Linked DNA regions of Oreochromis niloticus. The protein of the gene in region 1 purifies or fractionates together with the protein of each later gene. This does not show direct contact. Links are inferred from orthologs where the notes say so. Each region holds a gene or a part of one and is shown in the gene's direction. Other genes may lie near its edges.

The links. Proteins that work in one complex are often made in the same cells at the same time.
Region 2: the proteins of eif2ak3 (region 1) and tbl2 purify together in Homo sapiens (affinity purification with western blotting; 3 studies listed by BioGRID). This does not show direct contact. The link is inferred for Oreochromis niloticus from reciprocal best matches to the Homo sapiens genes EIF2AK3 and TBL2.

Annotation. Positions count from the first base shown.
Region 1 is NC_031983.2:7,554,253-7,561,930, forward strand, and holds the start of eif2ak3 (eukaryotic translation initiation factor 2-alpha kinase 3), read left to right. Parts: upstream 1-4,655; 5' UTR 4,656-5,102; coding exon 5,103-5,410; intron 5,411-7,678. Other genes in the region: rpia (ribose-5-phosphate isomerase), read left to right, coding at 145-286, 1,450-1,549, 1,644-1,741. UniProt on the Homo sapiens protein: Metabolic-stress sensing protein kinase that phosphorylates the alpha subunit of eukaryotic translation initiation factor 2 (EIF2S1/eIF-2-alpha) in response to various stress, such as unfolded protein response (UPR).
Region 2 is NC_031975.2:24,301,777-24,309,330, reverse strand, and holds the start of tbl2 (transducin beta-like protein 2), read left to right. Parts: upstream 1-4,536; 5' UTR 4,537-4,636; coding exon 4,637-4,763; intron 4,764-7,243; coding exon 7,244-7,365; intron 7,366-7,554. Other genes in the region: pom121 (nuclear envelope pore membrane protein POM 121), read left to right, coding at 1-92, 656-756.

The DNA of each region.
Region 1 (7,678 bases):
CACATCCGGTACTAAATAAGACACTTTAAGTATTAAATATTTGTGTTTTCTTTTACTAAAATAAAAACGGGTTTTAGACTGATCTGTATCTATGTGAGGATCATTCGTCCAGATTTGATTCATTCCCTTTCTCTACAACTCCAGGAAGGACTCCATAGCTCTGGGCCAACAGTGGAAGAAAGGAGTTCCCATTGAGGTTATCCCCATGGCGCATGTTCCCATCTCCAGAACGATAGCAAAGCGTTTTGGAGGCGAGGCTCACTTAAGAATGGCTGTCAGCAAAGCAGTAAGTGGACTGACTCTAACATCTGTGACATCTCAGCTGCACCTCTTTGTTTCATTGCTCACAGCTTTGCTCTGGTTTTCCTCCTGGATTTTCATTCCGTGGATCTTAAACTTACCATTGAACTTTTAGCATTAATCAACAGTTAAGAATTTAACTTTAAATTTAGCCATAGGCTGTGTATAAAAGAGACATTTCAGTGGCAGCATATTGGTTAATAACCTTTGTTTGCTCTTGGTGACTTGTGCCTGTTGTTTGTCCCGACCAGACTTCCATAGGTGCTACACCGCAGTGACTGATCCCCATTTTCTACTTTTATTAGCAACATTTTAACCCTTCCCATAAAACGGAATCAAAAATGCTGCCGTTTATATCAGCCTGATGTTGCCTGTGTAGCTGGCCTGAGTGTAAAAGGTGATTTGAACCCACAAACAATAACCGTGACTTTACATTTTCTATATGTCATTTACTGGACTTGGTGAAGCGGGCAGCACATGGTTAAAAGGTTTTTGAGTAACTTTGAGGAAGACCTAGTGAAGACTGCTCACATGCTGCTGTGGACCAGATCATTGGCTGCAGTGCCTGTAGTGTCAATCCAGTGCAATTAACTAACTGCGTGGCCTCGTGAGTCGGCTTCATTAGAGGCTTGTGACAACTGTGTGAGACTGAGGAAAGTTTACACTGAAATCGGAGGGCAAAACCGCCTACACAGGCACTGTAACTGCCTCATTAACACTCTGCAGACTTTAATGATTTGCCTCCTACTCGGTTCTTTCAAATGAACAACATCCAGCGAGAGACGGGAGCCTCTGTTTATTATTCCAGCTCTTAATGTTTTCATTGCTCTTTTTTTTTTTTTTTTTCTCCTTTTTTTGTACTGTTGAGCCTGGAAACTGTTTTGAGTGCTAATGAGTGGGACAGTTTGTTTACTCACAGATCCTTGACTCAGACATGCTGTTATTTAATTAAAACTTCCTTTATAATCGTGCACGATCACTTAATAATTACATGTGGCAGACCACGCTCGAGCGTTTTGTAAACTGCTAAAGAGAATAATTATATTTCCAGCACCCGAGATAACACGCTTTGCGTGTGTTCCCGTGCTTTGCTGCTTCACCCCGTGAAGGGCTTGTGGAGTGACTTGGTTATGTATTTGTGGCTTTCAGGGTCCCGTGGTCACTGATAATAGCAACTTCATCCTGGACTGGAAGTTTGAGCATGCTCAGAACTGGAAGGAAGTGAACACTGCAATCAAGATGATCCCAGGTGAGGAGCTTGGGACGTGTCTCATTCTTGCTGTAAGTATATTGGTCCATCCATCAGTGTTCAGAGTGCTCAGCCTGTCTCTGTGTGCTTACAGGTGTGGTAGAGACCGGGCTCTTCGTGGGGATGGCTGAAAGGGCCTACTTTGGCATGGAGGACGGAAGCGTGCAGGTTCGGGATCCTCCGGTCAACTGAGTTTTCCACAATTGGCACCATCTCACTGTGCTCCTCTTTCTGAATGACCTCACCGCTCCCACAAGTGCTGCACAGCCAGATTAGGAGTGCCTTGACATTAATAAAAAAAAGAAAAAAAAAAGAAGACATTTTTAAAGGAGCGAGGGGGGGGGGAGAGAGAGAGAGAGAGAGAGAGAGAGGGGGGAGAGAGAACACGAACTAGTTTCCCTGCTTTTGGAGGGATGGCAAGAACTACTAATGAATATCCAGATTTAAGCAGCAGGAAGCATAAAATGATCTAGTGCAGCTATGAAGCCTCTGGAACTGTGTTACAAAGATGCACAATATAAAGGTGGGGTGTAATGTAAGTTTCCTTGTTGAAGAAGCCTAACATGACAAAACAACACAAGCTGTTACCTAGTCCCTTTTAGTGACACTATATGGGTGTATTGTATCACTGTAAATACATCAATATTGTGACACTATGTTGATGTATTTCCATGACTGCAGGTTACAGATTACGGACTAGAGGCCACCCTTGTTGAGGTGTATAACGGGTATAAAATCTCTGCATTTCGAGTCCACTGTGTCACAACACTGTAAAGTTGCTTTAGCAGAGCTGTAGGTGTAAGTGTTCATTTCACTGGCTGGTAGGAAGCAGCTATCTGGTTTCCTGTCCTGAATGAAGACAGACTGGGAAATATATGTGGTTTCCTTTGAGGTTCCACAACTGTTCCTGTAAAGTTAGACTAATCATTGAACGTTAAAGTCCTCAGACTCACTGTTTGTCCAGGGAAAAAAAACAAAACTAATGCACGTACACATCTCCTTCCTCTGTGTCTGTTCTTTTTGTGCCTGTATGTCACCTGCATGACGGTTACTTATCCTTTACACGAGTCATCTGGTCACTGAATGCCTCGTCCCACTAACATAACTTGAAGTAGGTAATGATGGTGTACAGTCATGCTATTTAACTTTGGCGTGCTGTAGATCATGTAAATTTCACTAGGACCATGAGTACCTTTTGTGTCTTGTAATACCAAAGTAAGTGTTCTTTATGATTCAAGTAGCAAAAGTTTATTACATTTTCACAGTTGAATGCCTTTAAAATATATTCTTTTAAGACAGAAGTGTTGTCAGTGTTGGTGAAACTGTACATCTTCATAGTTCAGTTTATAGCATGGAGTCTGTCCCTTGAAGAAATGATCCCTTATGTCATTTTGTGGCCAAGTTACTGTCTCTGCCTGCATCAGCCATCACATGTTGTTCTTATGGTTTTCAAATTCAGCTGTTTCTTCGACTTTAGACTCACTATTCCTTACACTGTGGTTTCATTTTTGTGAATGTGTTTTTGTTTTAATGTATAAAACTGAGAGACTCTGGAGATGGGCAGAGCTGTGAAATTCAAGATCAAGTCATGCAAATGCAGTTAGTTGGCAAATATGTTTAAAAGCCACTGTGAAGTGCCCACACTCGGATCCTATTCTAATGTTATTCCAGTCTTATAAATCAAATTCAAGTGGCCTGGAGATGAAAGGTTAAGCAATCTGGGAATGTGTTTGGAATATTTTTGCACCAGCATATTATTATTATTTTTTTCCATTCTTTTCTTTACCAGTTGACTGTGATTATTATTTTTGCTGCAAAGGTTCTAATTTCTTTGTCAACCAATACAGGACCAAAATTATAACCCAATGTCTTGTTTTATTTTTTTGTGATTTTTAGTGTGAGCATAGTTGTTGCCACTTATTTCCCTTTATTTAAAGCTATTAACCAATAAGTATGATTTCTGAACATGAATTGACTTTGACCTTGTCAGTCACTGTACAACAGGTACACAAGGAACAAAATTTCATTACAGTTGGTTAAACATGATGAAATATAATAACCATGTTAAAATATGTTAAAATTGTATAGCAGCAGAAATCCTATAACATGCAAGGGTAGGGACAACAGAGCATGAAAGAGGGATGAGGATGCAGTGATGTCTGTGCCTCGAAACAAGCAGCGCTTGGGTGCAATGTCTTAAATGGAGGGAAGACGAGCCTCAGTGATTTTCTTCCACCATCCTCGCCTCTCTTCAGTCTTGCGTGGCCCACAGACTTCATAGTGTGGTTGGTGGTCATGTGTCAGTCATCAGCGTGAACAGCACAGGGCTCAGGGTGGTGTTCTCCAGGTGTGCACGGCTTCAGTAAAGAGCAGAGGAGATTGTGTCCTCGGTGGAACAGTTTAGCCAGTAGACAAACTGGAATGAATATAATAACGAGCTGTGCTCGAATTTGTGCAGAGTGCAGGAAAGTACCACCATCCTATTTGACCACAGGGAGGCGCTAGAAATTCAACCTGCTTAGTGTGCTTAAGGTAGTTTAATGCCAGCACACCAAAATGTTCTATATACAGACTATGAGCTAATACCCTTATGTACAATAAATAGCTAAACGCGTCTTTTGTATATTGAGCAACTGTAAATGCTTTGACATGTTTACAATAACTTCTTTAATATATATATTTATAACACATAAAACAAAAAAAAAATATGTTCTGTAATGTCATGGAAAGCTTTGAGCTTTTCTCCTGTGACTGAGTTATAGACGTTATGTCATTGTTATCTCTGTTTAAACGAAACTGAGAGCGATAACTCGTGACCGGGACCAGGAACTGCACCGATCTTGTACACTGAAGCCACGTTGATGCTTTCATGTTGGCTATCTTGACAACAATTCATGAATGACAGCCTAAATATCCAATCTAGTTGTTCCATTCAATCACCCAGGACGCAAACTGACCAATAACGTCCCTGCCTGTCAGACTAACCTCTCTTATTGGTCAGACTACGTCAACTCGGACCAATCACAGACCCGCTACGGAATTCGCCATCGAGGACATTTTTGCGTCACCTTTTGCTCTGGTCGTCGGGCAGCCGTCAATGCGCTTGCGTGGCTGTGACAGACAGCGGATTAGCCAATGCAGTACACTGTTTGGGAGGCTGGGACTTCCTGAGCCCACCTCTTTGAGTGACAGATGGGTGGTGCAATGGTATTCTGCTTAGTGTGCGAGTCTAGATGGTTGACAGCAAATTATCCAACGAGAGGCGGATTCATGAATTTTTAACAAACTCAGGGATTTCACTAACCAATCCTAGTGTAGAAACAAGGCGGGATTTAGCGTTACCAAGGCAAGTCGAGTCCAGTATAAAGGCAATAACATGGTTTCCCAGTGGCTGTTTATGTTTACTTAAAGAACATCTCCGAAAAGGGCGTTTTAGAAGACACAGCTTAGTTTTCTGTTTTAACTACAGTTTTTTGGACCTTAAGTTTTTTTATGTTAAGATTTACAAGGCCAGTGGCATGTAAATCTAATCACTAATGTGCCAGTCTTACAAATGGAAAGGGGGCTTCACTTTGGAAACGTGAGCATTTCCCTGGTGCTCCTCTTGTTGCTGAAAGCGCTCATCGGATTCGGGACTTCGCAAGCTCAGGGCTCCGCCATCGGGAGGGTGCCGCAGTCCACAACCGGGGGTTCAGGTTCGACCGCGGCGGAAGATGGTGCAGGAGTCATGAAGCGTGGCTTGGAGAACGTAGGCACCTCGGTCATTGGAGCAGACGTTACCGTGGAGGACGACGACAATGGGTCAGCGGCGGAGGCAGACGAATCACATGGAGAAAGTAACGGAAGCGTCAGACAGACGAGGTAATTATAAAAAGAGTTAGGCACCAACTGACAGTAAGTAACTACACATTCATTATCTCACACCGTTTCTCTAGCGCCTACAAAATAAGGACGACCCCTAAAATAACAAACACACAAACTAGTAACGCCTCCCTCTCCCAATTTATTTGTAAAGTCAGTTTAAACTTTTTACTTTTTTTGTCAAGCGATACTTTTTCATTAGTATTTCTCCGCCGAAGCGGCGCATTCAGAAGTTACTGGGGAAGTGTTTGTTTGTGTCCACTTTGCTCATAAACCTGTTTTTACTGCGTGCTATAACAGGCAGCCTTACAAACGGTGCCAAGAAAATAATGCGACAGAAAGGTTAAGTGCAGTGTCATAGCACAGAAGAGGAAAATGAAGTGTTTGTGAGCGAGTTTGGTATCGTGTCCGATAATGGACGCACACCGTAGCAGATGCGCTTATGCCCAGCTAACTACAGCTAGCTCTGTGTTCATGTTTTTATCTGGTGTCGGCAGTTTTGATAAGTTGCTAACATTTGGGTTACATGTCAGGGCAAAACGCGCTCGAGATAACTGACAGGAAAGTTTGGTGTACGACGAATAGCTTCTTCATGCAGGCTATGGAGAAAGTGGCTTTTCTATAATCTGTTGTTATTTCCAACCGCGAAAGAGGAACACGTTATGAGCTGAAGTGCCATGGTTGCTTTTGGGGGTTCGCTGGAACTTTTGATTATCTCTGAGGAGAAATACAGGCAACTATGAGCACATGCTGTCCTAAGCTCGGTTGAGTTTATCCGAAAAGAGATCTGAAAGCGTCCCCAAGTTACATTGAATGGAATTTATGTTCCAAGTGAAATGCAGCTGCTGCTTTCTTTGCAGATTTAAAATGCAAGATTCGTTTATTATAAAACGATAGAGCAGGAGAACAGTGGTAACTGGTAACCTCCCCTCCTGTCTGTAGATAATCTGCTTCACATTTTCATGCACCAGTCTGTTTATTATGCTCTTAACAGTTGAGTTGGACACTTTGCATAAAGCGTTTGTGTTGATCTTAGCGGTTTAAAGCTGTAGCAAAGTGGCCCCGGAGAAGAGGCATGTAAAAGTATGCAAAATGACAAGCTGTTGTTTGTTTGACAGAATAGGAGTTCAGGTTTGCTACACCTTGCTGCTGCTGCTGCTGCTGCTGCTGCTGGGTGGGTGGGTGGGGGGTTTCAGACACACCTGAGACCATGCTGCATGTCATTGCTTTAACCTCAGACATGAAATACAACCCTAACGTGTTTAGCGCAGTTGCATTTTCACATAACACCTTGAAAAGGCATGCGGCACTGCTGAGAAAGTCCCCTGGAAGCTGCCAGTGAAAAGTTTACAGTCTGACACAGACCACATGTTTACCCAGTCCTGTTAGATTACTGCTGCTGCTGCTGCTGCTGCTTCCCAAAGTGAGATGCAGTTCACACTGCATCTCGCAGTGGGGAGGGCATTGATTTTGTCTTCCTTGGTAAACAGTAGGTTTGACGCCCACCTTAGATGTTTGGCGCAGTGTGTTCCTTTTCTGTTCTTTCATCTTATTTTTACCTTTACAAGTCCATTACACCCACTTTTTGAGTGTAATATAGCTCCTTGAATCAGGATTATATCAGCACGCTTTCTTGCTTTAGGTATCCAAGGTCCTGAGGTCCTGTAATAAATTATTCCCTATGTATTATTCTGAATACGCTGTCTGTTTTCCTGAGGGAGTCATAACATCGAAAACCTTGTTAAGGTCGAACCTTTTGAAGATGCGCGGTGTCGTTTCATCACCTTAATGTTCGAGCTTGCTGCCATTGTATCTACTTGACGGCTGAAACGCAGCGTGCCGCCAATTTTCTGCCAACCTTTTTTACACCTCAGGCTCACTTTAAAGTTTTCTGACAAGACCCGAAGCGCCGTGTGTTAGCCCTGGGTGTTCGATGTGCTATATAAACAATGCTCTTTCACAGCAGGGAGCTACTCGGCATGCTGTGTAGTCTGTCCCACCATACTCAAGTCAAGAGGTGTAGTTACTTGGGTGGGAAAAATGAAAGATTTCACAAAATCTTTCGGCGTACTGCCGCACTCTTTTTACACCCTGCGCAAAGCCACAGTTTTACCAGGGTAAACTCTTGGCATGAGGGCAACACAAAGGCTCCTTCCTGCCTGGCATCTGCCGTACAATATCAAGACGAACGTAATTAACAGGTAGAAGCAGAATATTCCCCTGCCAGTCACCTCAGCTGCTGCAGGAAAACTCCTGAGCGTTCACCCT
Region 2 (7,554 bases), on another chromosome or scaffold:
AACACCATCTTTTGGCCAGAGTGCTGCTGCAGGTCCAATTCCCTTTGGAAGTCCTGGAACTCCACTCCAAGGCTTCAATGCTGTTCAGTTTGGTAAGGCATCAATTTTCTATTTTTTTTATCTTTTAAGAGGTGATGCCCTGCTGAAGCGTGAGTAGGGATGTGTGACTAGACGTTTAAAAGGTTGTTGCTCTCAAGTAGCTGTAACCCAGTGATGTTAGTGTGTTAGTGTGTGTTAGTCTTCTGGTTTTATTTAGTGAGAGTGCAGCACCATCACAAAGTTTTATTGATACATTTGTTAAATTACTCTATACCTCTTCTGTTGGTAATAGGATGCTACACTGTAGCATTGTGCATTGCAATGTAGTGGGATTTAGCCTGTTTATCTACTGCTGTGAGGCCAAAGTGGAAACACATGGGTTCTGTTATTAAAGGTGGGCTTGAGGCAGGCTGATGGGAATTTTTATTGCAGCCAAATACTGAAAAGCATGTTGCCTCACTATAAGAATTCCTTGTCAGACCTGATATTGATCCTAATTTAGATGAAATTAAGAGGCGGTTTTGAAGTTGGAAAATTTGATGCCACTGTTAAAAACTGGATACTTTGTAGCAGAAATGGTTACATATCCATATGTTTTATTTTTTATTTTGTTTAGGATCTCCAGCAACTCCTTCCTTCTCAATCGGAGCTGGATCGAAACCATCCGGAGCACGGCAGAGGCTGCAGGCGAGGCGACAACACAACAGGAAGAAGTAGCCTGCCACGTTGTTCCAACAACGCATTCGGAGGACTCCAGCTGTTGCTGCTATGGCTAACCTGGCTAACATTGCTCTGTTCTAAGCCCAACATCCCACCCCATCAGGCTACCACCATACCCTATGCTTCCTCCCTCTCCTCCTCCAGTGGGTTGTGCTGGCCCGAAGTTTGCAGATGAGTTAGAAAGAGCACATTAGCCTGCTGAGTCCATGACCCAGTGAGGGAATGCAGCAGTAAAGAGAGAGAAACCACAATGATGTACTATACTTGAAGAAGGAGAAAAGACGATTTGATAGATGCTGAACATAAGCATATCCAAAGTTCTTTTTCCTTTTACCGTACACGGACACTCCCATTGGTTCGTCTTAAGGAGAAAGTTGAGTCGAGCTAAAGGTGGAGCTGCGGCTCAGACACTTATTTTTTTACGTGAAACGCTCGCTGGTTTGTATGTTACCTGAATATTTGAGTACATTCTCTGACTGAGTCTGAATGGGATGAAATGCACAGTCAATTCAGATAAGGTACACAACACTGCAGTGTAAATGTAAAGTTTGCATTTAAATTATTTTTTTAATTGGCTCTCTGACCCTGTAAATGAATAATGTGTTTCTGCACTTAAAAGGGCGACTTAGTAAATGTCTTAACGTAGTTTGTGCAGACCCTTGTGTTCTTGTTTCGTACTCTTTGTCATTGCAAGCATTCCCAGAGTCCTCCTGTGGATGGCCTTTTTTGATAGTGATTGCCAACTGATTGAATTAGCAGGTCAGTATGTGAGTAGGATGAGTACTCTCGACTAGCGCTGACAAACCAAAGCCAACTCTTCAGCTTGTTCCCTGTGAAAAGAATCTTGAGATGAGAGTGTGCTTGTGTGTGTGTTTGTTGTGCCAGACTACCTCTCTTTGCGCCCAGGCACTGAATCCTTGTTAATTCACTGAAACGTAACAAATCTGCTAGAATCAGTTACATTTTACCTTCAGCCTACCTGCTGTTAATGCACATGGAACCGTGATAAATGGTGAGGTTTTTAAATATCTGCACAGCAACACATTGTCCCCACTTCAGAAATGTCACTGCTACCTTATGTCAGATTTACAAAAAAATTACAGTCTGTTCTATTGGATCTCTCACAGCGATACAGGGATTTTTTTTGTTTTTATTATTATTTTTGTTTTTGAGCGTGCAGCAAACATGGACAGTAAAGCAGTTGATGTCAGCTGTTTTATTCAAATGATCTCTGTTCTCAGTAATCACCTCTTATTGTGAAAAGTGAGCCGTTACCAGTTGTTTTTTTGGGGGGGGGGTTCTTTCTTTGTTTCTTCTTTTTTTATTTTTTTTATTTGGATGGTCAAATTTGAATAAATAAAAATGTGAGTTTTGGATGTGGATGTTCCACATTAAACCTTTAAAGATTGCCAAATTTTCTTCCCAAGACGTGGAGGCTATACTTCGTACTGTATATTAGCAGTATGCTCTGTTTTTGTAGTGGATAAACAAGTATTGCTTGGTAATGTTGCAGGAAGTTAAAGAGGACCTGTTATGATTGTTCTTATTTTCTGTCATGTATATACTGTTACAATAGTGGATCCTCATATTAAACTTGGCCAGAGTTTCGAGTAATTTGTTCACTCTATGAACAAGTAAATCCTGTCAGGCGTCAAACTTCTCCAAACGCACAGTTTCTGATAGTTGGGGGGTTTTTTTCTACTTCTGGTTGTATGATGTTCATGAGAGGAGTAATCCTTAACACCTCTCTTTGTGAGGGGCATCCAATCAGGAGAAAGTTGGCTTAAAGGGGGGTTTGCTCCACATGGTGGATGAACAGCAGAGCAAGAGGAGAGAGTGATTCTCTATGGAGTCTGGATGTTTTCTCCAAGCTTCTGTGGGTTTCTCTTAGGCTACGTTCACACTGCAGGCGAAAGCGCATCAAATCCGATTTTTTCGCCCCTATGCGACCCGTATCCGATCTTGGTATGACAGTGTGAACGGCACAAATCCGATATTTTCAAATCCGATCTGGGTCACTTTCGTATGTGGTACTGAATCCGATACATATCCGATGTTTTAGAAAGCGACTGCTGTGTGAACGGTCAAGTCGCATTAAATCCGTCTTTTACGTCACTGACACAAGACAGACGCCAATTATCAGCGCCGGAGAAGCGCCCGATAAGACATCGCGAACGATTTCCTACCATCCGGTGAAACTGTTGGGAAGACAATGTTGGAGAAATGTGAACATTTTATTTTTACTGTATTTTCTGCAGATTCTGACAGAAATCTGCAACTATCCTTTGAAGCACCGCTCCTCTAAAACAGCAAAAAGGATCATTATTAGGTTATTTGCATTATTATGTAAGTAACAAAATAACTTAAAGCAAAAATCTGGAAACATAAAGTCCGAAGTCTTTATATTAAGGGCCATTAGTCAAACAATATTGTTTGCTCTGGGTCTAAACAGAGCGCGTTGTGTGTGACATCTTCTTTTGCGCATGCGGGCCGCTTTGAGCGTTCACACTAGAGCGCGTTTGATGTCTCATTTTATGTGTAGTGTGAACAAGCAGACAGAAAAATCGGATTTGATCAAAAAATCGGAATTGAGCATTAAGACCTGCAGTGTGAACGTAGCCTTAGGGAATTCTGGTTTCTCCCCTGCCAAAAACATGAAACACATTGGAAAAATGCTTTGTTAATGACACGCTGCTTACAGAACAAGAATGTCAAGAATTGATATCCAACACACTCCGAGAGATCTAAGTAGTGTTTTACTGGGAACTGTGTCTATGAGTTAGTCCCAATAAATTTAAGTGATTTAATTTCAAGAAAGCTGGAGTTGAAATCAGATTGAATATAATGTCAGACTATATACAAGTCCAAACTTTGTATTTTATTTCTTCTCAGAAAATAATCACAGTGCATTTTAAAGCATATTTGGAAGTATTACCACTTGCCACGGAACAGTAAACGGCTACTTCCCTGAAGAATACATGCTTTTACTTTAAATATTTCAGGTATACTTGATGCAAATATCTAAATCACATTTATTTGGGCTTGTAGACATGGTCAAAATGAAGTTCAACTGAGCATGGGGGTGGGTAATTTAAGAAACTTTGAAAGGTGAAAATGCCTGACAACTTTGAACTGATCCGAAAACTCATTTAATTACTTGTTACAAACACAGGAATGCAGAGGAGCATCTCTGAATGCACAGCATGTTAAACCTTGAAGTAGGTGGGCTAAAGCAGCAGACACCCAACAATCAGTGCCACTCCTGCCAGCTCAGAAAAGGACACAGAGGATACTCTTCACACGGGATAGCAGAAAATGGACAGTAAAAAACTGGAAAAAAATTTGCCTGGTCTGGTGAGTCCTGATTTTTGCAGCAAAATTCAGATGGTAGGATATAAATTTTGGTGTAAATATCGTGGAAGCATGGCTCCAACTTTTCTCCTGAAAAGTTTTCAAACATTCCACACACGCCAGTCCGCTAGGTGGCATTAAAGACGGTTGGAGACCCGGATTGTGCTGCATTCATGACTACACCCAGAACAGGAAATGTGAAAATTGTGGCAGTTACGCTAGATAACGCCGTTATAACTAAGAAAAAAACGAAAACGAATAATCTAAGAGATTAAGTTGTCTTTTAACGTCATGCTAAAATCATGCAAGCCAAACTGACGGAATGTTTATACATTTAAAATAAACTATATATGTTTCACGGAAATGTTTGGAGGCGGGGGGTTCTCGTATTTACTACTTGCAGTCGTAAACGTGAACGCAGCCTTAGATGAAGCGTACTATTAGGACGCATGCGCGGTGCCCCAGTCGTGAGGGGTTAGTTTAGGAGACGTTAGCGTTGCAAAATACGTGGCAGAAGGGTGTCGACATGGAGATAGCTGCTCTGGCCGCGTTAACTTTGTTACTGGGTGCATTGGTTATTCTGGTTGCGTTAGCGGTGGGCAGACGGAAAGAAGAAATAAGAGAAGAAACGGAGCAGGCAGCGGAGTTTGCCGGTAAGAGCCACTCAGGCTAACGTAACTCTAGCTAGCTGGAGAAGGGGGAGACTGTGGAGAAGGCGGCAAGTCAGTCATACTGCATTCATTCATTCACTTACTCAGTAATTGATTCATTCAACAAAAGAGCTCCGTGCCAACGATATTAACACGAACTCAGAGCTAGAAGTAGAAGCTACGGTAACTTTTGAGTGGCTGTGACTGTCACATTAACAGACCAATGGGTGCACTGCTTTCTGTCGAGTCACTGCCTGTTTTTTAACGCTTCATTGATGACAAAGGTTCAAATCGGTATCTGTAGCACGTGACATTAGTTAATGGCAACACTAAGACTCTTATACATGTGAAGTAGAATAACTCACTGTATAAAGATAGTACTTAAAGGTTATAAAACAGAGGAAGGTTAGCACATTCATCTGATGTTGAGTCTGTTTAACTATGTTTAAACAAGAAGTTACATGAAATAAAATTTTGGACTAATAAAGACGTAGTTAGACTATTATTTTTTCTCCAGGTAATAGGATTCAAAGTTTATAATTGACTAATAATACATCTTGATGCATTCTCAATCATCCAGGAAAGTAAATCTCCAAAAGTTGAATCTGTTCATCTGGACGTAGCGTTTTGTGGGAGAAACGTTTCGTCACTCATCCAAGTGACTTCTTCAGTCTCAGCTGACTGCAGGTTTCCCCAAACCTTATAAACAGTACAGTACATTATGCAAATGTACTGTTTATAAGGTTTGGGGAAACCTGAACAGATTCAACTTTTGGAGACTAATAATACAGTAATAATCCTGGGCATAATTTTATAGCCTTGGAGTTAATCACTTTAATAGTAACTTATTATAGTTTTGTGTTGTCTAAATAGGTTTTGTTTGTGTTTCATTTTGAATTTTGGTTTTCTTTTGAGGTTAGTTTGAGTTATTTTGGATGTTTTAGTTTAGATTTTTATCCATCACATCCATCCATTTTCTTCCACTTATCCCAGACAGGTTGCCACTCTTTTGCTGGGTTAACTTAGAGACCAACAACTGTCCATACTCACATTTACACCTATGGCCAATTAAGAGTCACCAGTTAACCTAATGTGTATGTCTTTATACTAAAGGAGGACGTTAAGTAGTTCGTTTTTTTTTTTTTAATTTATTTTGGTTACTTTTTCATTTTATTAGTTTCCAGTCGTATAGCTTATTTTTACGATTTTCTTGGCTTTTAATTTAATTTTAGTTCACTATAATAACCATGCTGAGAGTGTTTTTCCACATTCTGTTAACATTATTGCATGCAGTGAATAGAAAACCTCCCAGAGCTAATTCCCTGATTTCCAGAGTGTTTTGGGGGGATTGTCATGATGCCAAGGATTGGAAAATTACACATAAATTATCTTTTAGCTGTTTGTTAATGCTTCATAACACCCATATCATGTTCAGAAATAGCATAACCAACAGTTTATTCTAAAATGAAATGTGTGGAAATAAAACTTTTTTTTATGTTCCTAGCCTTTTCCCTATGACTGGGCTTTGACATACATGCTAATGTACAGGCTTGTTGAAGAAGATCCATAAACAAGAGCTATCCATCAATGATCTTTCCCCAGAGATAACTGATTCATAGCAGCTCACAAGAGTACATTGTTATTGTTAGACTACACATAAAAGTTAGATACTCTTATATTGTTAGTAAAATTACACAAGACCAACCACACAACTTAATTAAATAATGATAATAGAAAAACTTAATAAAAAATAAAGAAATAAAATGGAAACCTAAAAAGCAAAATGAACATATATATATATTTTGTTTATATTTATGTTAGAAATTGTGCAAAATTACAAATTCTCTATGATATGTTATATGCTATATTGATTGACTGATTGATTGATCATACTTTATTCATCCCAAGGGAAATTGGGTTAAGGCTGCCAGCCATGCCAGCGCCGTCCTACCCTTCCGACCATACATACATTACACAAACATCACATGGGGAAGACAGGTCAGAGGGGTATAACATGGAAAAGCACAACACGAGGAAAGATAAGGAGAAAAAAATAACTCCCCCCAGACTGAGCTCCAACAGGGAGATCAGTTTGAGAACAGAAAAAAAACACCTCTGCACATAGCACATGAAAAAAAACTCTAATACACCAAAGAAACACATGACAAGCAACAGGGATGGGTAAAGGGTGAGAGACAGCCAATGTAGACAGTACATCCGGGCCTGCAGCCTATGCGCTGGTCTCCATGATCCACCGTCAGCATCGGAAGGGAATAAGCATTGAACAATTTGGGGTTCACTATCTTCCCCAAAGATACTTTGGCATGCAGACTGGAGCAGCCAGTGATCAAAGCAGCAAAGTTCCAATTAGTAGAACTGCTTATTCTGCTGATATACAGCCATCTGAGTAATAGTTTGTATATATCCTTTTAAAATAGTCTTAGTGGGCATCAATGGTCATGTTTTTCCTGTGTTTCTTCCAGCTGAAGCCAGTGCTGTGAAGGGTTCCCAATCCAAGAAGCAGAAGCAGGAGAAGCAGCGTGGTCGCAAGGATAAACCTACACAACACACTTTCAGCCATCTGCTGCTGGCAGCCTCTCTGAAGGTAAACTGAAACAATCATCAAACACACACATTGTAAAAGCCTCAGAGGACAAGGAAGAGTTTTCATAAGAGACTGGAGTTTGGTTTGTTTTAAGTCACTGTAGGTTATGCGAGTTAAAAGCCTTGCTTTTGTTTTGGTCTGGATGCAGATCAGCTCAGTGAGCTGTTCTGAAATAATTTAACGAGGTTT